3 linked regions of the Pelodiscus sinensis genome follow. The protein of the gene in region 1 purifies or fractionates together with the protein of each later gene. This does not show direct contact. Links are inferred from orthologs where the notes say so. Each region holds a gene or a part of one and is shown in the gene's direction. Other genes may lie near its edges. The genes, in order: MAD2L1BP, LBR and MAD1L1.

What was found.
Region 2: the proteins of MAD2L1BP (region 1) and LBR purify together in Homo sapiens (co-immunoprecipitation; 3 studies listed by BioGRID and IntAct, counting the BioPlex papers as one, with this or other methods). This does not show direct contact. The link is inferred for Pelodiscus sinensis from reciprocal best matches to the Homo sapiens genes MAD2L1BP and LBR.
Region 3: the proteins of MAD2L1BP (region 1) and MAD1L1 purify together in Homo sapiens (co-immunoprecipitation; 4 studies listed by BioGRID and IntAct, with this or other methods). This does not show direct contact. The link is inferred for Pelodiscus sinensis from reciprocal best matches to the Homo sapiens genes MAD2L1BP and MAD1L1.

The regions. Positions count from the first base shown.
Region 1 is NC_134713.1:139,340,311-139,347,588, forward strand, and holds the start of MAD2L1BP (MAD2L1-binding protein), read left to right. Parts: upstream 1-4,202; 5' UTR 4,203-4,385; coding exon 4,386-4,781; intron 4,782-6,088; coding exon 6,089-6,625; 3' UTR 6,626-7,278. UniProt on the Homo sapiens protein: May function to silence the spindle checkpoint and allow mitosis to proceed through anaphase by binding MAD2L1 after it has become dissociated from the MAD2L1-CDC20 complex.
Region 2 is NC_134713.1:156,527,646-156,535,630, reverse strand, and holds the start of LBR (delta(14)-sterol reductase LBR), read left to right. Parts: upstream 1-4,893; 5' UTR 4,894-5,293; intron 5,294-7,985. UniProt on the Homo sapiens protein: Catalyzes the reduction of the C14-unsaturated bond of lanosterol, as part of the metabolic pathway leading to cholesterol biosynthesis.
Region 3 is NC_134726.1:28,515,465-28,523,041, reverse strand, and holds the start of MAD1L1 (mitotic spindle assembly checkpoint protein MAD1), read left to right. Parts: upstream 1-4,555; 5' UTR 4,556-4,645; intron 4,646-6,654; 5' UTR 6,655-6,667; coding exon 6,668-6,817; intron 6,818-7,577. UniProt on the Homo sapiens protein: Component of the spindle-assembly checkpoint that prevents the onset of anaphase until all chromosomes are properly aligned at the metaphase plate.

The DNA.
Region 1 (7,278 bases):
GCGTCAGAAACACCCGCGGGGCTTCACGGGAAACCGAGTCCGGACAGCTGCCCAGGACTACAACCCCCAGCAAGCACCACGCTGCACAGCACACGCAGCTCGGAAAACTGCACTTCCCATGATGCACCGCGCCAGTCACACTGACTCGCAAAGGCCCACGGGCGCAGCAGTCTCTACACGCAGAATTACCGCACTTAGAAAGGACTACAGCTCCCAGCATGCACGAAAGAAAAAAGCGTCCTTTCCTTCCGGAGCTGCTGAGCAGGGACTCCCGGGAGTTGTGGTTTTCCAGTTTATTGAGGTTGTTGGTTCCCTGCTAGCTTACCATTTTGCGATGGTTTCAGGACAGGCCCATTTCTTGTGTATGCTTTTTCACCAGCCTGTCTTCATGAGTGGAACTGGGGCCCCTGGAGAGAGACAGAATAGCATCACTTGTGTAGGGTTGCCAGGTGTCGGGTTTTCTACTGGACAGTCTGGTATTTGCACCGTCTGTCCAGTAGAAAAATTCAGACTTTCAGGTATTTTCTGAATTTCCAACTGGGCGCTGGACGGAAGCCTGGTTGGGGGCGGGGGAGTGACTGGGAGGCGGGGCTGCGATTGGCGCTGGGAACCCTTTGTTCGTGTGCAAAAGCCGGGTGGTGGGAGTGGCTCCCAGCCCCTCCCCCGCCCCTGCCTGGCTTTTGCTCGCAACTAAAGGGAGTGCCTGCTGGGGGCATGGCCCAAAGGACTCTGGCTGTAGCCAGTGCCTGCACCCCTCCCCCCCCGCCAAGTCTGCTTCCCACCCCCCTTCCTCCGGGCCCCCCTCTCCGCCCGGCCAGCCCCACGACCCCTGGCTTCCCCCCACCAGCTCTGCTTCCCACCCCGCCCACCTCCCGGCCAGCCTCACCCCTGTCCCAGCAGGTTCTTTCCCCCTCCCCTGCCCGCCCACGATCAAGTGTGTCCGTTTTTTTGGTGGGGTCTACCTGGCAACCCTACACCTGTACCATTCTCTTCCCAGACTACTTAAAGTGCTTCCAAGGTAACATTTGATGGTGGGGCCTGTTGCCTCCCCGGGCTGTTTCTCTGTACTATAGCGGTGATTGACATCATTCTATGTCAACCAAAACCCAGGAAGCTGCTGATGCAGTTTCATGGTTGGGTGTAGTTTGGGCAACAACATTGAAACCCAATTTCTAAAATCTATAGATTTACATGCTGCACACAGTGCTTGTGTGTATGGTGCTATATATGTGCATAAAACCCCTCCCATCCTCTGGATATCCTGGTCCTATGTACCATAAGAGAGAAATACAGGTGCTACCACCATATAATACATTCAAACCAATATATATCAAGACACACATAATAGAAGTTTAATGGAAAATAATAAAGAGCAATGTTATTTGATAAAGCACTTCAAAACAGTACATTGTATAGTTTCAGCAAGTTACCATATAATAAATACATTTCTATAAGGACAATATGCTAAAATATATTTATATCAAACATACTGTCACATGTTAACAATAAAGCAAGAATTTTGGACTGAAAAAACTCCTGAGTACTATTTCCAGTTTCCCCACTAATTGTATAGTTTTGACCAAGTCACTTTGTCTCTATTGAGGATGTATTATTGACATTTGTAAAGCACTTTGAAACTCTTTGATGAAAAGTGCTATAGAAGACTTAGACTTAGTCCTGTGGCACTTTATATATATATATATATATATATATATATATATATATATATATATACACACACACACACACACACACACACACACACACTATCATGAGCCTTTGTGGGCAAAACCCACTTCTTCATATGAGATAATCTTGAGTGAAGAAGTGGGTTTTCCTCATGAAAGCTCATGTGATGCACACTCTCTCTCTCTCTCTCTCTCTGTTTATATATATCTATATCTATATTTGTTAGTCTCTAAGGGGCCACATTGTTTTTAAAGTTACAGACCACATGGCTACTCCTCTGAAACTAATAGAAGACTTAGGATAAACTTAAAAAACAACAAATAGTCTGGTAGCACTTTAAAGACTAACAGGCAATCTAAATATATTACATTGACACACTAACCATATTACACACAAGACTATGCAAAGCCACAGAACTACAGATCCCATCATGCATTTGAAATATACAAATTGGACTCCTCCCCCCCCCATGTTGATTTTTAAAATTGCAGCCAATGATAAATCAGGGATGCTTTGTTTTCAAAAACTAGCTGTAGCCACACACTCTCAGTGCTTCAGGGCGCCTCCTCCTTCAGGGCTGACCTCCAAAGGAAACAAATTGCATCATGTACTACAAATAGCTGAGAACAGAAAACCAGGTCAGAGCAGTTCATTCAGCTAGAATAGCAGTGTATACTACTGCCTCTGCACAATTGTGGTATGATATCTGTTGTGGATGATACGGACACAAAATGTGGTATTTAATCACTGTGATGATAATATTTTAGCCATGACTAATATATTACCAGTACGATGATTACTATAACTAATTATAAAAATGGAATTTATATAAAAGGCAATGAAAGGAAGATGAAAAAGCTCTCTGAACTAGAACTCAGGAATCCTGACTATTTAGTGTGTGTCTACTGTGGGTTTTGCTCAACAAACCTCATGATACTGTATATATTTTAGTTAATCTCTACGGTGCCAACTACTCGTCATTTTTGAAGTTACAGACTAATATGGCAGTCCTTCTGAATCTATATATATAGGTGAACCTGAAACACCCTGGGTGCGTCTAGACTGGCAAGATTTTGCGCAAAAGCATTTGCTTTTGCACAAAATCTTGCCGCCTGTCAACACTGGCCGCAAGTATTTGCGCAAGAACCACTGATTTTGTACAGATCGGCTGTGTCTACATTGGCACCCTTTTCCGGAAAAGGGATGCTAATGAGACCAGCTGGAATTGCAAATGCCGCGGGGGATTTAAATATCCCCCGCGGCATTTGCATGAACATGGCTGCCGCTTTTATCTGGCTCGGGGTTTTGCCAGAGAAAAGTGCCAGTCTAGATGGGATCTTGCGGAAAATAAACCTACTTGCAAGTAGGAATAAGGGATCTTCCGGAAAAGGGTTTATTTTCTGCAAGATCCCGTCTACACTGGCGCTTTTCTCCGGCAAAACCTCGAGCCGGAAAAAAGTGGCAGCCATGTTCATGCAAATGCCGTGGGGGATATTTAAATCCCCCGCGGCATTTGTAATTCTGACTGGTCTCATTAGCATCCCTTTTCCGGAAAAGGGTGCCAATGTAGACACAGCCTACAGGTATTCTTGCACAAGAGGCCTAGTGTAGACAGGCAAGTTAATTTCTTGCGCAAGAGAGCGTCTACACTGGCACGGATACTTTTGCGCAAAAGACATCTTTTTTGCGCAAAAGCATCCGTGCCAGGGTAGACGCTCTCTTGCGCAAATACTTTTAACGGAAAAACTTTTCCGTTAAAAGTATTTGTGCAAAATCATGCCAGTCTAGATGCAGCCCCTGGGGAAAAGCAAGGGAGGGAATTAAATGGGTTCCTTATAAATTGGATCCCCCCCTTGCATTTTTGTATACCATAGTATCAAGGCAGATAGATTTATTCTGACACCTTTTAACTTGGCTAGGAGAACAAACCGATCTTGGCTACCATCATGCCACAAACTAAAGGCCAGGTAGAGGTCTTTCTAGTGATCGCTCACTGAAAACAGGAAGAGATGTCAGCTACAGGGTCTTTTTTATTTTTGTTCTGTGTTGAGATCCGCTTGAGTGGAACAGGATCTTGTCAATGGACCCTTGGGTGTGGACCAAAGACAATGACTTATTTTTCTCATACTATTGATGAAACTAACTTGTGAGAAGAAGGGGATTAATCTTCCATAACACACCATTTCCCTGTTTTTAATGTGCATTTCCAGCTGGTTTGCTATAGGCAGCATTGTCTAGTGATTAGCACAGAGGAGAGATTGAAATGCAGGGCTCCTGGAATTTACTTCCCACTCTACAACAACATCACTGTGGCTACGTCTACACGATCAGTTTGCTTGGCAAAAAATATGCTAATGAGAGACTCATTTGCATGAGTTACAATCTCATTTGCATATTTTCTGCCAATCCATTTTTGCGCAAAAACAAACAGTGTGGACGTTACGTTTTCTTTTTGCGCAAGATTCTTACGCCCGAAAAAAGGAGGTTTACCGATCCTGCGAAAAAAGCGGTTTTTGTGCAAAAATAAAATGTCCCCACAAGGCGGGCGGAGGGAACACTAATGTGCCCTAAGAAAAGATGGCGCCGGCGGGGTCACGGCCACCGGAAGGAGCAGGGACGTGAATGTCCCGTGATGCCCCGGGGCGGCGGCCATTCAACTTGGGGCCGGGAGTGGGCAGCTGAGCGTGAGGCCGAAGATGGCGGGGATGGGCCGCCAGGAGCGCGCAGGTGAGGGGCGGGCCCGGGCTCCTCTCCCCTCCCCACCCGCGCCGAGCGACCTCTCCCCTCTCCACGCAGCTGACCTGCTCCAGACCGAGCCCCTGGAGGCCCCGACGCTGACTCCGGACCCCGCCGCGGGATGGGGCGGCAGCGGGGCGGCAGCGGCGCCGCTTCTCCCCACGCAGGGCCCGGCCGGCCGCGCCCCGGGCTGCCGCTCGGTCTCGGTGGTGTTCCCCGGCCCCGTGACCCGGCAGGGCTGCTGCCACTTCGCCTGCGAGCTCCTCAAGCACGTGCTGCACCAGCGGCACCAGCTGCCCCTGCCCTACGAGCAGCTGGCCTACTTCTACCGGCGGGCGCTGCCCCGCCCGCCGCAGGTAAGCCTGGGCCGCCGGCCGAGCGAGAGCCAGCCCTGGATCCTGGCAGCCGGGTGCGTTCCGCGCTTGCCCGGTGAGACGCTGTTTTCCTGGGCTGGCTGCTGGCCGCTACCTCCCCTCCAGCAAATCTGCTTCATTCCTCTGCCTGCGCAACAGGTCAATCTCTGCGGGTGCTTTTGCCTTCCGGGAATCTCTGCCTCCAGCCCCAGCGCTGTAGTGACTTTGCCTTGGGCTGAGGAGGGCTGGAGACCGTTCCCTGCATGTTCTGCAAAAGTCAGCCTACTGTGCCAGGCCAGATAGGCCTTCCCAGCCGCACCCTCCCGAGGTAGGATGATCTGATACACTGGTTCAAGAGACAGCAGTTACAGATCAAAGTAGTAAGGTTTCTGGTTGGTTCAGGCCCAGCAGTGACTGGCTGCAGGGTCTTGGCTGGACTGGCTATCTTTAGGAACCAGTGGGAGATGGGACATGAAAGTGTCTAAGCTCCCAAGTTTGCACAACTAGGATAGACCTTCAGACGTCTCAGAAACAGGGAGAAGGGGAAGTCCATCATGTAACTGAAATAGGCTATTGGTAATAGAAACTTCCATGTGTTATGGAGATGATTATTAAACTCATCAGGATAGCAACACAGGGTATATGGACAGCGTTTCAGAGCTATTTAGTCTGTTGGGCAATAAAACTTTGAAAAAAGATCAGGTGGCTCATAATCTTTCTCACTGAATAAAGTGGCACTGGCTCCCAAGGCAAGTCAGCCTTTTCCAAGAATTGGATAGCTAATCTACTGGATAGCTGTTGTCTTGATTTGTAGCCTCTATCAACATACCTTCTGTATTTCCAGTTGCATGCATTGTTTTTCTCAATGCAGTCAGTGTTTATATTTAATGTGACACAATATCCTAAAGAGAATACACTTCTCTCTGGCTGGTCAAGTAGTTTTATCTACAGATCTTAGAGCACAGCAGAACATCGGCCTCCTAAGAAAATCCAGAGAGGCTGAATGTTGACTAAAATGCTCATTGAGCTATGCCAAGCTGTGAGAGGTTTCTAGCTTCATTATATCCATCTTGATATCTTTTATTTCTACTGACCTTAAATTCAGGAAACACTAGTAATGAACTCATTCAATGTTGGGTCCCACCAAGACACCAAGATTCCTTTTTTCAGGTTTTTAAGGAAAAAAAACCCTTAGTTTTTCTTAAAATATCTGTTCTTTCTTCTGTTGGGTCTGGTGGTTCAAGATGCTAAATGCAGTCAAATACACCACCACTTGCCTAATATTTCAGAATATACTTTTTCCTTGGCAGGATGGTGATGCAATTAAGAAGAAGCCACAGCCTACAGACCGAGGGAGCAGCAGGAAATGTCAGCAAGTGCTAATGGAGCTGGAGGGAGTGTTCCGGCATTTGGAAGCCATATTCAATCTGACCTTGGTTCCCCGGATCCTTATTCTGCTTGGAGGAAATGCCATGAGCCCTAAGGAGCTCTATGAGATCAATTTGGAGGGCATCTCTGTGGGCAATGCTGAGGAGAGCCTGCAAACACCGACCTGTGTTCGTAAGCTTTTCCATTCACTCTTCCTTGCAGATGTCTTCAGTGAGTTACAGGTTGTTCCTGCTATGGGCACCATTGTCATGGTACAGGGGCACCGTGACTGTGGCATTGACTGGTTCCGACCAAAGCTCAACTACAAAGTGCCAACACGAGGGAGGAAGCTGACTGTCAACTTGTCCTGTGGTGGAAACAGCAGTACAAATCCATCTAATCAGCAGGGAATGACTTCTGCCTGGGACAGCTACATATGGTTCCAAGCACCAGTGACACTTAAGGGCTTCCATGAATGACTCATGCTCTCTAGCATTTTAATAGGGCATTTTATAATCTGGTGCTACTTTAGTTAATACGTAAGAATGTTTTTATGATCTGTAACTATACATTCTCTCCTCAGAATCCTATATCCAGGGAATGTGCTACCTACGTGCAGCTGGGGTGTATTTCACTGTCCATAAAACAAAGCTTTAAATGGCCCCATGCAAGGGATAAGCACTAATGCAGTTTTGTTCACAGATGTCAATTTCTTGGTGAAACTGAGTCAGGAACCCTAGAGAGTTGGTGGGAGTAATTCAATTTATGTGCAGCATGCCCACTCACCCCCAAGAATATCAAGGTATTCATACAGCTGTTCTCTAGCTGCTGCAAGAGCAATGTGCAATGTTAATGAATGGATTGGGACTTGAATAATCTAAATTTATGCTTAATATGGGTGTGGCAAAGATTATATAGCAGGTTTTACTAAGCAACTTGGTCTCTCATCTCCTTTACAGTCTGGCAATATCATAAAGATTAGAGAGAGAGCTGAGAAGTTGCTTAGCTATAAGAAAATCCACTTAGCATCCCTTATACAAAGGATGCTCTAAAGAAGACCTCTAAACAAGAGTCTTTTGCTCAGGACTGTTTTCTATGCTTGTGAGAATCTGTCTGAGCAATGCCACTTGCA
Region 2 (7,985 bases), about 17 Mb from region 1:
CTGAAGCGTAATAAGCTCTTCCTGTACACACTGGGGCGTCTGTTAGCCTGTTTGGCTACCCTCTGCGACGGGACCTCGGTCCTAGCAGTAAAGTCACGGACGTTAAACTACTTTTCAGGGTGCCCTCCAGCCTCCTAGGCTGCCCACTGCAACGAGACTCTGTGTCTCAGCAGTTGAAGACTTGGGTGTAACACACACGCACACACTGCCCTGACCGTCGGCTGACAGTGGATTGCTTCATGTCTGCCAACATGATTTTGTGATACTGATTCCGGTAAATCAGTGATGTACCTGATTTAATACAGAAGCCTCTTAATAGACTACGTAGTGGAAAATAACATGAACACATGGGCTGCGTCTAGACTGGCAAGTTTTTCCGCAAAAGCAAAAAACTTGCCAGCTGTCTACACTGGCCGCTTTGAATTTGCGCAAGAACACTGACGATCTAATGTAAGATTGTCAGTGTTCTTCCGCAAATATAATGACTCTCCCGTTCGGGAAAAAGCCCTCTTGCACAAATGCTGAGAACCGTTTTGCGCAAAAAAGCCCCGATGGTGAAAATGGCAATCGGGGCTTTCTTGCGCAAAACTGTGTCTAGATTGGAATGGACGCTTTTCTGCAAAAAGTGCTTTTGCGCAAAAGCGTCCGTGCCAATCTAGACGCTCTTTTCCACAAATGCTTTTAATGGAAAAACTTTTCCATTAAAAGCATTTGCGGAAAATCATGCCAGTCTAGACGCAGCCATGGGGTATTGTGTTAAAAGAACACATGGGGTAGTGTGTTAAAGGGGCGGCTATCCCTTTAAACCAGGCATTCGTGCGATTCAGAGGATCAGCTGCGGGGAACCCAGGATCAACTGTGAAGTCCCCAGCTGACTCCGGGCCCCTAGTGGCATACAGCGTAGTATGGAGCCCAGGGTCAGCAGGGGACTCTGAGTCTCCCGCTGATCCTGGGCTCCATGGCTTTGAAATGCACAAGAGCCCCTGCTGGGGACTCTTGTGCATTTCAAAGAAGGCATCTGTGTGCAGCCTGGAGTCAGCGGGATGTCCAGCTGGCCCCAGGATGTACTCGGAGTTCCGCATTTCAAAGGAAGAATGTGGAAATACCTGGCGACTAGTTGACTGAAATTCTGTTGACTTGTTAATTAACCACATTTTAACATCCTTACTCTGAAAACTGACCATTTATTCCTACCCTTTGTTTCCTGTATTTTAACCAGTTACCAATCCATTAAAGGACTTCGCTCTTATCCCATGACAACTTACTTTACTTAAGAGCCTTTGGTGAGGGACCTTGTCAAGGGCTTTCTGGAAATCTAAGTCACGTGAATTCTGGGGGCCTTACTCATGGTTTTTAACAATGTGGAGTTGTCAGTCCTTTAGTGGATACTATTTAGATCACAAAAACAAATTAACAAGTTTATTTTTAGAGTTTTTGGAAGTCTTGCTGGATAGGTGAAGTATTATTTGGGCAAATAATAAGCTCGCTGTTATATCAATTCTCCGTGTCAGAGTTGAAACACTTTGGCAGGACAATGAAGAAGGGGAGCTTGCATTTGCCATTAACTATTTAGTATTTTATGGACAGAGAGGAATTTGAGGGTTTCAATTCAAATACAGCATAGTATTAAATTGCTTTTAAATTAGCATGTTTAAAATTGATAAATCACTTGCCTTTTTGGTGGCAATAAAAAATAACTATTTTGTTCATAGTTTGTGATATTCAAAAATGTTATAGGCTACTGTGTTTGATCCAAAAGATTTTTGCTTTCTGGTGGTGAAGTGATGAAGTGAATCCTGTATTTCCTTTCAACAGCACAGAGATATTGCAAATCTTAGGTTATATGAAGTACTTCTAGATCTTTGGAAAAAGTTGCTAAGCCAATCACAGATGTCTTAAGTAAAATATGACCTAGTTTTATTATAATTCTTACTTTGTCATCCCCAAGTATGACAACCCTTCTTGCCACCCAAGAAAGATAGAAGAAACATCTTTAAAAAAGCAGGGAATAATGTGTGATTTACACATCCTCTTTTTGCACAGATCGTCCTCTCCCAAGACAGCTAATGGAGCTGTCAATCCCAAAAATCAATCTTATGTTCTTCAGTGATAGAGTTTTTGCATCAAATGCCCATGAACCTGGAACTCTTGGCATGACTATAAACCTCAGCCAACTTAGAGAAAAATTACATTTTTGACTTAGCCCCTACCTCCAATAATATTAATTTAAAAAAAACCCCAATTCCTGCAGATGGAAATGATACAGTTCTCTCCCTTCCTTGATCTTCAGGCTTTCAAACAGTGAAGTTAAATAAGGGCGGGAGGGAGGGGTGGTGGTAAGGTAGTATTTTTATTGGACTGCTTTCTTGTTGGACAAAGCTTTTCATGTCTGGAGGAGGAAACCAGAGTGTCCATGCTAAACACATGGTAGGACAGATTGTTAAGCATAAGGGATTCAGACATGTAGTAGGGGACCACTTTAAATGAAGTGGGCAACACAATTATAGAGCAATGGAGAGTTAGTATGCAGCCACATGTGTTCCAAGTTGTTGTAATGAACCATAAAATCAATGCTTCTCTTAAGTCTGTGACTTTTAGGGGCCAATAGTTATGGCTTCAAAAGACAAGCTTGGGAATTCAGGAGTGTTGTGCAAGTCTCCTTTGAGGATGATGACTGAGAAGTCAGATATGGAGCAATCACGTTGTCAAAGATATTTGTGTTATTTAAAAACTGTAGCTATAATTCACCACACATGCAGTTTCACTGTAATTGTAATATAGACAGCACTCTAATACTGCCATCTTTAGATATTGTAAAGTGCCTGATCCTGCTCTACAATATAGCTTCTATCTTCACTTGAACTTTAGACCAGTGTTTCTTAAACTGTGTTCCATGGTACACCTGTGTGCTGTGGAGAACAGAATTTAAAATGGCCACCCTTAAAGGGGCTGGCAACTTTTTTCTCAAAACTCTTCCTCCTCCCCCCGACTTATTTTTTTTTTTGCGCTCAACAAAAAAAAATCCTTGGTATTCCCCCCCATAAAAAAATTGTTTGGTGTTCCTTTGTCTTAAAAAGTTTAAGAAACACTGCTTTAGACAGTATTGCCAATTCTCAGGATAGTTGATGAGTTTATTATAAGTGCAGTTCCCAGATTAATATTATTAAATGAGAATCAGTTAGATACAGCCCCGAAAGCATACTTTCTTGTATATGATTTTATGAGGTACTAGATTTAAAAATGTAGACCTCCCCTCAGGGAGATACCACCTGAGTGTTAGGTTAAAAACCTAGATGAATTAAGGCCTAGAACATCTATGCAGTCCTCAAAATTAGTTCTATAAGTTTGAACTTTGAATGTACTTCCAACTGCTGCTGTGATATGGTATTTAGAAAAGTATCAGAGGCGTAGCCGTGTTAGTCTGAATCTGAAAAAGCGGCAAGGAGTCCCGTGGCACCTTATAGACTAACTGAAGTGTTGGAGCATAAGCTTTCGTGGGCATAGACCCACTTTGTCTGATGCTGACGAAGTGGGTCTTTGCCCATGAAAGCTTATGCTCCAACACTTCAGTTAGTCTATAACGTGCCACGGGACTCCTCGCCGGTATTTAGAAAAATGATTAATAAAAAGTCTGTACACAATGCAGCTAGATATGGAACCAAAATGAGTGTCTCAAACGGTACAATAGCAAAGTTTTCCCTAAAATATTCTGTCCCAGCCCTGTGTTCCTTTTCTGGAACTCTTCCACAAGTTTTAACTTCAGCTAAACTATTTTAGCTTGTCTTTGTTGCTGAAATTGTCCCTCAATCAATTTATCTTGCCCATAATCAGATAAAATCAATTAGTAAAATACTTGTCAATATTATGATTTAGAACAGGGGTGGGGCACCTTTTTTGGGTCAGTGGCCGCTGACCCACAGAAAAATCAGTCAGGGGCTACACACAATTGAGAGGCCCAAACCAAAAAAAAAACCCAACTGCAAACCCCCTCTGCCCTGGCAACCTGAGGAGAAAGATGCTCCCTATGTTCCCCTTGCACACCTCAGCCTGGGGGGGGGGGGGTGACAGCTTAACAGATTTGGTGTACTCCAGCCCAGGGGGGTGCTAGAGCACAACATGGGGGAGGGAGTCCTGAGCCTGTAGGACTAGATCCAAGCAAGGCATGGGCCACAGGTTCCCAACCTCTGATTTAGAATATTAGTGGAGAATAGGCTAACCTCTGCGTGCAAACAGAAATGAACCTGTTGCTGTCAAAGATTGTCAAAGCTAATATTGATCTCACTAAATGGTACTTGGAATAACGCTAGTGATAATTTCTGATTTGTTTGTGTGGGGTTTTTCCTTTGTGCAAAAGTCCGGATTTACTCCTGTCTCTGAGGAAAAGGAATAGCTGTGTCTTATAGTTATGAGAAACAGGTATCATAGCTCATAGGGGCTAAGCCTTCCCTAAACTGCCCCCCCCCCCCAAAGGAGGGGGAAGACTCAGCTCAAGCTGGCCACTGTGGCAGCTTCCACCAAGTGGTGGCCTGGGGCTGGCCAGCCAGCTGGAGGCCCCTGGGTTAGGCAAGTGGTTGGAGACCAGCTGGTAGCCTGGGAAGAGAGGCAGGTGGAAGGGGTGGGGCTGCTGGGCTCCCTTCCTCCGAAGAGGTGTTTGCAGCGCGTCTGGCGCAGAGGCGCTGTGCTGACTGGAGTGGGCACAGACCCCCTACCCCCACCTCTCAGGCGAGGAAGCTAACTCGGTGGCAGAGGCTCTTTCCCCCCAAGGAAACCATTTTCAGCTGGCCAGGCGCTGCCCCAGCCCCGCCCGTTGGTGGCAGAGGGGGGGCTCTGACGGGCCCTTCTCATGAGGGTGAGCGTTGCGGGGAGGGTCTGGGGCGGTGTGAGGGAATCTGTCTCTTCCACCCGCCCCTGCGGCCCGGCCTGGGGAAGGGGCCAGCGGGAGGTTTCCGTCCCAGAGGCGGGAGCAGGGACAACCTCGGACCGGCAGCTCCCGGCTAGGACGCTCCTCTGGAAGGGCCCGAGGGGGCACAAAAGGGTGGAACGCGCCACCCACTCGTAGCCAATTCCCTGTCCCGATCGCGATTCAAACCGGAGGCCTGGCCAATGGTGGCGGTTGGCGCCCAGCACCTCGCAGGAAGGGGCGGGGCTGCAGCCGAAGCCTCGCGCCAGCCGCCCTGCCTGTAACCGTCGCTCGGGGTGTTGGATTTCGTGGCTCTTCTACGGTCCGCTCGGCCCCGGCTCCTGCGGTGTCGCAGAGGCGATTCCTGCTGGCTGGGTGGGGGCGGCAGCCCAGGTAAGGCCCCGGGACTGAGGGCAGCCGGGGGCCGGGACACACCCCCTCACTCAGAGACTTTCCCGGGGAGGAGGGCACCGACCGGTCGCTTCCTCCTTCCCCTCCCCCACGCTCGGGGCCTCGCGACACCGAGACGTTTCTTTCTCTGTCCTGCTGGGGGCTGGTGTGAATTGGCCCCTTCCGTTCCCGGCTCCCTTCCCTCCGCTCTCACCCGCCGCTTAGCTGCGCTCCTTAGCGTCTGGGAGCCGGCGGTGACGGGTTCCCCGAACCCCCCCCGTGCGCGGCGGGGGCAGGGCTGACGCGTCCATGTAAACAGGCGTGCGGTGCCCTCCCCTGCGCGGAGACTGGCCGGCTCCCCCGTGGGTTGAGGCTGTGGGCGGAGGGACATAGGCTCCCTTGCACCCCTATGGAGAGCCGGACCACGGCCGAGTTCTGCGCTTCCCGGCTAAGGAGCGAGGCGCGGGCGGGTTGTGGCCCTGCTGACTGGGGAGCGCGGGGCACAGCGAAACAAACGAGCGCGACCTCACACCGCGCGCTGCAGCGGGGCTTCCGGGGGAGAGGGGGTGGTCACGGGATCGGTTCCTCTTCTCCGGCCTCTCTCTCCACTCGCCTGGCGGGCTGGGGCAGGATTCCCAATGGACAAAACAACCCGGATATCTGTTACATTTCTGTGTCGGGCTGAGACCGCGTATCCTTGAAGCGTTTCTATCAGGATAAATGGGAAACGTTTAAATTATGACGTTTTCCCTCCATTTTGGATGCTTCTGGTTGAAAGTATATTTAAAGGAGACGAATGAGCCTTTTCTCTAATGTCTTGGAGATTTGCTTTGCAAAGACTGCCTGATTTTTTTCCCTATAGGTAGATAGCGTTCCGACGCTTTCAAAAGGGTAGCGGAGTTAGTCTGTAACTAGAAAAACTTAAAAACAACGAATAGTCTAGTTAGTAGCACCTTAAAGACTAACAAAACATATAGCCGGTATCATCAGCTTGCAGGGCAGAGTGGTTAGTGCTGCTCTTTATCAATTGCTTTTCAATTTAAGATGTAAACTGAACAAAAATGGGGGAGATGGAGTGTGTTACTGTCTTTTCTTCCTTTTACAAACCCTCAACACTGGCAAGAAATTAAGTAGTATTTTTGGATAAGGCTAGTGTGAAAGATGCTGTGTGAAAAACTTCTGTGTAAGTCATGCTAATTGATTTTTTTTTTTACTTGACACCCTACTCGTTAGTGAACTATTTTGGTGTGTGTGTGTGTGTGTGTGTGTGTGTGTGTGTGTGTATATATATATGGGTAGCTAATGAAGTCAGAGTTTTGTTTTTGCACTAAACCAATTTAAGTTTGCTTGTTAACACATTTTCCAAATGCAAGTGCATTAAACTACGTTTAAAAATAGTATTAAGATTGTATTTTTCCTAATTGAATTCCTACATCAGTACTACAAATCTAGATTGTAAGTGTAGTGATTATTTGGCCTGAAGTTTTTATATTCAGATTTTCTTGATTTCATGTGAAAGTGCCATAAGTGAGGATAAGAGTAAACATCATCTGCTAGGTCCCATTTGTACAAAAGATGTATATGTGTTTAAATGTTTGTACTATGAACACTTCTTCCATCAAAAGCAGCACCTTAGTGAGTATTGTGGAGAGCTATTCCTAAAGAGTGATTAAATATTATTTAAGTACTATACAGACACAGTAGTGCATAGTTTCACAGTAGTTTCCAGAATATGGGCTATAAAAAGCAAAAAGCAATTTGAAGAACACCGTGACCATAGGAAGACAGATGACATAGGACTCAGTGGTCTCCAACCTTTTTACACCCAAGATCACTTTTTAAATGACAGAACAAGCCAAGATCTACTGGCTGCCCCTTCCTTGAAGCCTCGCCCTCTCTATTCTCCTCTCCATTGCTTGCTATCCCCAACCCTTATACTGCTGCTTTTTTTGTTTCAAGTTTTCTGTAGGAAGAGGTTTTTCCAACATTTGGCCTGTTTAGACTGGGCCAAATATCAGAAAAACCCCTTCTTTTGGAAGCTCCCTTATTCCTTGTGGAAAGAGGACTATAGGAGTGACCGAAAGGGCATGTTTGCTCTTCCATTAAAAAAAGCGGAAGAACAAATACATCCCTGGATGCAGAAGAGTTTTCCTGGGATATCTCCGGAATCCTGAAAAACTCCTGTAGTCTAGCCTTATCCTCGCTGGGTTGAGACATTAGTAATAGAAATGTAGCCGCGTTAGTCTGGTGTAGCCGAAGCAAAATGCAGGACTATGTAGCACTTTAAAGACTAACAAGATGGTTTATTAGATGATGAGCTTTCGTGGGCCAGACCTACTTCCTCAGATCAAATAGTGGAAGAAAATAGTCACAACCATATATACTGAGTTATAAGATCAAGAACACATATTCCTGCGCATCCAGAAATATAATTTATGCTATCATGTGCCGAAAGTGTCCGTCTGCTATGTACATTGGACAAACGTCTCAGACACTTCGCCAAAGGATTAATGCCCACAAAACAGATATCAGACAGGATCACAAAGAAAAAACAATTTCTTGCCATTTCAACCAGAAAGGACACTGTCTCAACGACTTAACTACCTGCATTCTGCTACAAAGACTTTTTCATATGTGTTCATTTTTTTAAATTGTATCCTTTGGTATATTATGGTTGTGACTATTTTCTTCCACT
Region 3 (7,577 bases), on another chromosome or scaffold:
AGTTAATGGTATTACAGGTGATAATTGGGGAAACTGTCTTGGTAATGGGTGAGAAAGTTCAAAGTCTTGTTAAGTCCTTGGTGATAAGTGTCGAATTTTAACATGAATGACAGTTCAGAGGATTCCCTTTCAAGTGCAGATGTAAAAGGTCTTTGTAGCAGAATGCAGGTGGCTAAGTCATTTAGAGAGTGTCCTTTCTGGTTAAAGTGGCAAGAAACTGTTTTCTCTTTGTGATCTTGTCTGATATCTGTTTTGTGGGCATTAATCCTTTGGCGAAGTGTCTGAGATGTTTGTCCAATGTACATAGCAGACGGACACTTTCGGCACATGATAGCATAGATTATATTTCTGGATGCGCAGGAATATGTGTTCTTGATCTTATAACTTACTTGGTTAGGTCCAATAATGGTATCAGCAGAATGAATATGTGGACAAAGCTGGCAACAAACCCCGTTGCCAGCTTTGTCCACATATTCATTCTGCTGATACCATTATTGGACCTAACCAAGTAAGTTATAAGATCAAGAACACATATTCCTGCGCATCCAGAAATATAATCTATGCTATCATGTGCCGAAAGTGTCCGTCTGCTATGTACATTGGACAAACATCTCAGACACTTCGCCAAAGGATTAATGCCCACAAAACAGATATCAGACAAGATCACAAAGAGAAAACAGTTTCTTGCCACTTTAACCAGAAAGGACACTCTCTAAATGACTTAGCCACCTGCATTCTGCTACAAAGACCTTTTACATCTGCACTTGAAAGGGAATCCTCTGAACTGTCATTCATGTTAAAATTCGACACTTATCACCAAGGACTTAACAAGACTTTGAACTTTCTCACCCATTACCAAGACAGTTTCCCCAATTATCACCTGTAATACCATTAACTCACAAACATCCCACTCTCCCTACCTTTAATATCAGCAATTCACAGACACTTACCTTCCTTCCTCCCCCTTCCCACCCCCCCGCATCCCCCTTCTGTTCTGCAATGTGATTTGTCCTTTTCATATTTGTTCATTTTTTTTAATTGTATCCTTTGGTATATATGGTTGTGACTACTTTCTTCCACTATTTGATCTGAGGAAGTGGGTCTGGCCCACGAAAGCTCATCATCTAATAAACCATCTTGTTAGTCTTTAAAGTGCTACATTGTCCTGCATTTTGCTTCAACTACCCCAGACTAACACGGCTACATTTCTATCACTATTCTTTTATGTGTAGACACTCTCTTTTGGAAGAAGTTTTTCGGCAGATCTCTTTCGGAAAAGTTTGTTCCGAAAGAAGCCTGAAGACTAGACTTAGCCCAAGAGGCCCACCTGACCTCATTTTCCTCATGCATATTAATTCCTTTTTCTCATCTTCGCTGCACCTCCATTCTTGTCTTTCTCACGTGCAAGCAAAGACTACATCAGACCCCACCTAGCCCCTGGCTTCAAGTCTGTAGCCTCATGGCTCCTCTCCACAAAGGTGCAGACATAACCCTATTTACACTCTCTTACCACTTACACATATCCATGCACTCCCTTGTCACAGGATAGAATGTTACAGAGCTTAAAGATTATATAAGCAATAGCTGGAAGTTACAAAGCTTGCAAAGAGGTTGCAGAACTTGAAACATTACTTGAAAATTACATGGCTTGCAATAGAAACTGATATAACTTAGAATAGTTGAGAGTTACATGGCGTACAATAGAAAGTTTTGGGACTTGCAATGGCTGAAGCTGACGACTTAAAATAACAAAGTTACCTGACTTACAATAACAGAAAATTACATGTCTTACATCCACATTATACCAGCTTGGGCGGAGGTTTTACACAACAGTGCGCACCCACTGTCTTCTTCCCTGTGGTGGTGGTAGGCGCGCACAGCATGCTGCCCTGCTTCCCCATGGTGGGGCTGTGAGGAGGTGGCTTGGCTCCTATGGATGTGAAGGACCTCAGCCGAAGGTGCGAGGCTGGGGATGGGGCTGAGGGCTTGCCTCCCCCAGCCCTACCTTCACCAACTGCCTGTGCTGTAGCCTCTGTTTGTCAGAAGCTTGAAATGGGCAACAGGAAATGGATCACTTGACGATTCTGTTCTTTTCATTCTCTTTGGGGCACATGGCATTGGCCACTGTCAGCAGAGAGGATGTTGGGCTAGGTGGACCTTTGGTCTGACCCAGTATGGCCATTCTTATGTATAAAACCTGCCCGTGGGGGATGGGAATAAAAATAAAACACTACTTAAAGATTTGTGTACATGTGTGTGTTTCAGATTTCTACTTTGTGATCATAGTTATACTTTGAACTAAATGCAACGCAGCTGTCATGATACTGAAGAGAAGGCAGCTATCATTCAGTTTTACTTCTGAATTTTTCCTAAAAGTGCAATTTATTAGCACATTGTGCCAAATAACTATATGGGCTGAAAATTTCCATGCCAACTATCTGCCTTAGGCTGAAGTGGTTAAACTGTTTCTAAGAGAGAGGCTAGGAAAATGCATGTTTGCCTGTCTTAAAAATGTTGGGTGACTTATTCTTTGAGAAGATCTGTTGTGCTCAGGCTTTGGAGCAAGGTCTTGAAGCTTATAAGAAGAGTAGCTTTCTTGTCATGGATATGCCTTTTGTTGTCCGCATGACAATCCAACCACATTTAACCAGCTCAACAAGCCTCTGAAAAATCAGTTTTTGCATGTGCTGAGTTGAGCCCTGTTAGAGCTTGGTAGCTAAATTCCCCGAAGACTGTTTTCATCTGGTATGCTTCTATCTGAGCTGAGCAGGACTTTTTCTGAAATTAGAATTCTAGGCTACTGAACCCCAACGAAAGCAAAGTGCTGGAGACTCTCTCATGCAGCATCAGGAGAGAGCTGGTCAGAATCACTTGTACACACAGTGGAAGCGTAACTGGGAATCCCAGTTTAGCATTGCAAGGAAGTTTACAAGGTATATATTTTAGTTACTGTAATGTATTTTGGACTTTTGCTTAAACACATGGTTTGATTAAACTACACCCTCTCTCTAGTGTGGCTCAAGCTAGCAGTGGGCATCCTTAATTCTTTTTTTTAGTTAATTCTTTAGTGAATTGCTGAGTTTCCCACCTTCATATTCATCAGTTCTAGTCAGAAGGGGCAAAGGTGCAATTGCATACCAAGCCCGAGGAAAGAAAATGGAAGTGAGAATTCATAAATTCTTTATCTGCTTACAGAGGGACAGCACCAGGAGCTTAAAAAGGTTCTTCATTCCCTTTAGGCTTTTTTGTTTTCCACTGCCCATAGTGAACCTTGAGCATATTTGCCTACTCCTGACAGCAGTAATGCTGGTCACTGACTTCAAATCCAATGTAGACACAGTTATATTTGCTACTGAAGTTGTTAGTCTGTGGTAGCACTTTGCTTTGAAAGCTTAGTAGAGAATATGTGATCAGGTCTGGCTGCCCGTAGGTGCAGCCTGTGGTGTGTATCATCCTAGGAGTCCCTCCTGATATTTCTGTCTGTGAAGAAGTGGCAGGTGAAGAAAATCTGCAAGTGCCCTGGTTCAATCCAATAGAGGAAACTGCACAGTGCAATAAGTGGCATGTAGGCATTGTTGTCACTATGGTCAGGAGTTGTGAAGATCTGGATGGATTGGGTGGGTTACTCACTCTCCTGTATGTTGACAACATAACTTCTAGTATGGTGCCTCCCGCCTTGTTGGAGAAGGGATGGTCACTGGCAGTGTGCCCTCATGTCCTTTCTGTAAAGGATGTGTCTCTTATTAGAATCACTACTTTGTAAACATTTATATTGCACTAGAGCTTAGAAGCCCAAAAAGAAATCCAGATGCCGGGGTATCAGACTCTCTGCAGTGTTGCAAAGCGGCAGCGCTGCAGAGCGTGGGGTCAGTTAACTGCTTTGAAAATCTGCGTGCAGCCCAATGCTGGGCTTCCCATGGCATTTCAAAGTGGCAGCACTACACAGAACTGGGGGTCAGCTGGGGAGTCCCCAGCTGATCCCGGGCTCCATGTGGTGTTGCCACTTTAAAATGCCACATGCAGCCTGGGGACATTCCAGATGGCCCCCAATTGCACGTGGCTTTTCAAAGCGGCAGTGCTGCATGGAGTCCAGGGTCTGGCCCCCCGGCTTCAAGCAGCACTGCTGCTTTGAAGTGCTTCCTCTTCTTTCCCCCTTGCTACCTCTACCTCATAGAGACAGCAAGGGGAGGAATCAACTAGTCAACTATCCTGTCAACTATTGGATAAGCATTTGCTTATGGGACAGTCGACTCGTCCCTATACTGAACAACCACAGCCTGAGCAAGCTGGTCAGACAGACTTGCTCTGGCAGAGTTGAAACTGGAACCCGGTGTCTCAACTCCTACTCCAGGGTCTGAATCACAAAATCATCCTCCCAGATACAGCGTTGCCATGGCACCGTCAGTTTTTACTCTACCACACTGGGGAAATAGGAACTTTGTGCATGCGCCTAGCGGTAAGAGGACCACGGAGCTACCCCTGGACGCACGTATAACCCGAATATTACGGTAAAGTGTGTGCGTCGGGGGGGAGGAGGCGGGGCGGGAAGGTTCGTCTCGCGGGAGCTGGGTTCGAGTTCTCGTGAGATCTCGGGGCAGGACGAGGAGGGAGATCCAAGCAGGAGGCGGGGAGCCGGCTGCTGTGGGTGAGTGCGAGAGACCCGCGCGCTGTCTCGCGCCCCGGGCGGTAATCGGATTGGCTCGGCTCCGCCCTGCAGTTCCGTGGCAGCACAGGCGTCTTCCCGCCCTGACACCCCCCCCTCCCGTCGGGGTCCCGCGCTCTGACCCTGACCCCCCCTCAGGCAGCGCCCCTCCCCCTGTTCCCTCTGGGGCAGCGCGGCAGGGCCCCTCCCTCACACTGACTCCTGGGGGGGGGGCAGCAGCAGAGGGTCCCGCCCCCAACACTGACCCTCCCCAGCCGGGGCAGCCAGGTGGGATCCCAGGGGAGCAGCAGCACCGTAGGGTCCCCCTCGCTGGCGCTGAGCCTCACCAGACACCCCCAGCGACTCTCCCCTGGGGCGGCAGCAGGACACGGCCCCCTGTGGAATTCCCCCTCTTCTCCCGGGGAGCAGCGCAGGGCCCCATCCACCCAATACTGTACCCACCTGGGGCAGCAAGGCAGGGCCCTGCCTCACGTGGGCATCTGTACAGGGTCCTGCCCCTTCACCTCGGGCACAGAACCTCATCCCTCAGGGGAACAGCCCTGCCCCAATTTAACCCGGTCTCCAATCTGCCATGTCCTGGGGAGGGGTGGACACATCGCTTCCAGATTGGTGCACATAACAAAATTCATTCTGCTGAGGGATGTGAAGTATTAGAGGGAAATATGAGGAGAGGTTAAAGCGACTGGGACTTTTCAGTTTAGAAAAGAGGAGACTGAGGGGGGGATATGATAGAGGTATATAAAATCATGAGCGGTGTGGAGAGGGCCGATAAAGAAAAGTTATTTATTAGTTCCCTAAATAGAAGAACTAGAGGACACCAAATGAAATTAATGGGGAGCAGGTTTAAAACTAATAAAAGAAAGTTCTTCTTCACACAGCGTGTTGTCAACCTGTGGAACTCCTTGCCAGAGGAGGCTGTGAAGGCTAGGACTATAATAGAGTTTAAAGAGAAGCTAGATAATTTCATGGAGGATAGGTCCATAAAAGGCTATTAGCCAGGGGATAAAATGGTGTCCTTGGCCTCTGTTGTCAGAGGCTGGAGAGGGATGGCAGGAGACAAATCGCTTGATCATAGTCTTCGGTCCACCCTCTCTGGGGCACCTGGTGCTGGCCACTGTTGGCAGACAGGATACTGGGCTAGATGGACCTTTGGTCTGACCCAGTACGTCCGTTCTTATGTTCTTATGTTCTTATGGTGGTGACCTCCATACCATACCACTCTTAATTCTTAACTGCTGCTAGTGGCAACACTGCCTTTAGAACTGGATGCCCGCCTAGCAGCCATTACTCTGAAGGCAGGGCAGAAGTAAGTGTGGCAATATCATGACACCCCTACGATAGTCAAATTTCATAGTCTGTGTTGCAGTTTTTCACACCCATGAATTTGGCAGGGCCCAATGTATATGAGAAGAATGTGGACTCGAGCAGGGGTTTTCACAATAAAATTTGTGGTGACCTCAGAGTGCAGCCACCAACTCTTGCTGGTGGCTGCCCTGGCAAACCTGTCTCTCTATTTCTGCCATCTGGGAAAGTGGGTCATGAACTCACCAACTGTGTGCAGTGTCCCAGGTTTCCTGGGCAGCAGTGGGAAAGCTACCTGGAGGAGCATCCCAGAAACTAAGAGCTGCATGCACTGTGTCTCCAGAGGCACTTCCTCGAGCCCCTGAGGAGGTTGTGCTGTGCAGGACAATGCTCCCTACTGGCAGTGCCAGTGTAAACATGAAAGCGGCACATTTTGCTGCCCAGGAGCAACAATTGGGCGCTGCAAGGAGGAACTGCTGCTTTTGTCCCCATACTCTGCTTTGCCCTTCTATGCTGTAGAAGCTATTGTGGATGCAAAATAAATTCTAAAAAAACCTTCTTGTGGCTGTATTTGAGAAATGCTTTTTCAGAATGACTTGAAGAAGGGGGTATGCTTACCTGATGTTATAGCGGTGAATAAGATTGCCCTGGATGTTTCACTTTTGCCTTTGTGTGTCTGTGTTTTACAGCAGAGAGCTCACCATGGAGAACTCAGAGGACAATACAACTGTGTTCTCTGCCTTGCGATCTCTCAACAACTTCATTTCACAGCGTGTGGAGGGGGCATCTAGTCTGGCTGCACCAGGATCACTTCCAAGTACCTTGCATATGCAGTACCAGCAGAGGGTTCAGGTGAGACATCCCTGGTTCATTCACACCTGGAGTTAAGAATTTAGATTTATTTTGATATCAGGCATGGGAATTTTTTTAGTTAAGAAACAGAGGCTGTCCTTTCTTACATTGCTATCCCAACATTGCCAATGATGGAGACAATTTGCTCCCAAAATAAAACTCTTAAACCCATTCATTTAAGAAAAAAGTAAGTTATGGGCCTGACTCTTTGTCCTGGTCAGTATTCAATTGGTTTTCTTCAATTCTCTCCCTTTAACTTATCTGTAGGTCAACTTAGGCAGCTGTATTTTGATTTCATCTTGCCCCCATGACTGAGCTTAACTGATGGTTTGCTCGGGGTGATGGTCAGTTTTTCCTGCCTTGTCCATTTCTTTCTTGAAAACATACTGTTAGGTGTGCTAAACTATCCATGGCATTTTTATGATATTGACTCTGAGGACTGAATTGAGATCACCAAATTAATTCTATTGGGGACCTCAATCTGGACCAGAATTGTAGTCTTTGAAGCATAAATTTTAATTTACTAAACCAGTCTTCATGGATGCTATAGCGATGGACACTTTAGCAATGTCCAAGATGTCTTACACAAGTTTTGAGTTTTGTAGCTTTGTTATGGATCTCTAATTATGTGTCTGAGTGTAAAGTAAGGCCTTGGTATCTTTATTTAAATTTCCATTGCATTTAAAATTGTGTGGCTGGGTCCCTGGGGACTTGGTAACCTATTAGCTAGGTTGCTGAGTAGGTGGGCAGAAAAGGGGGA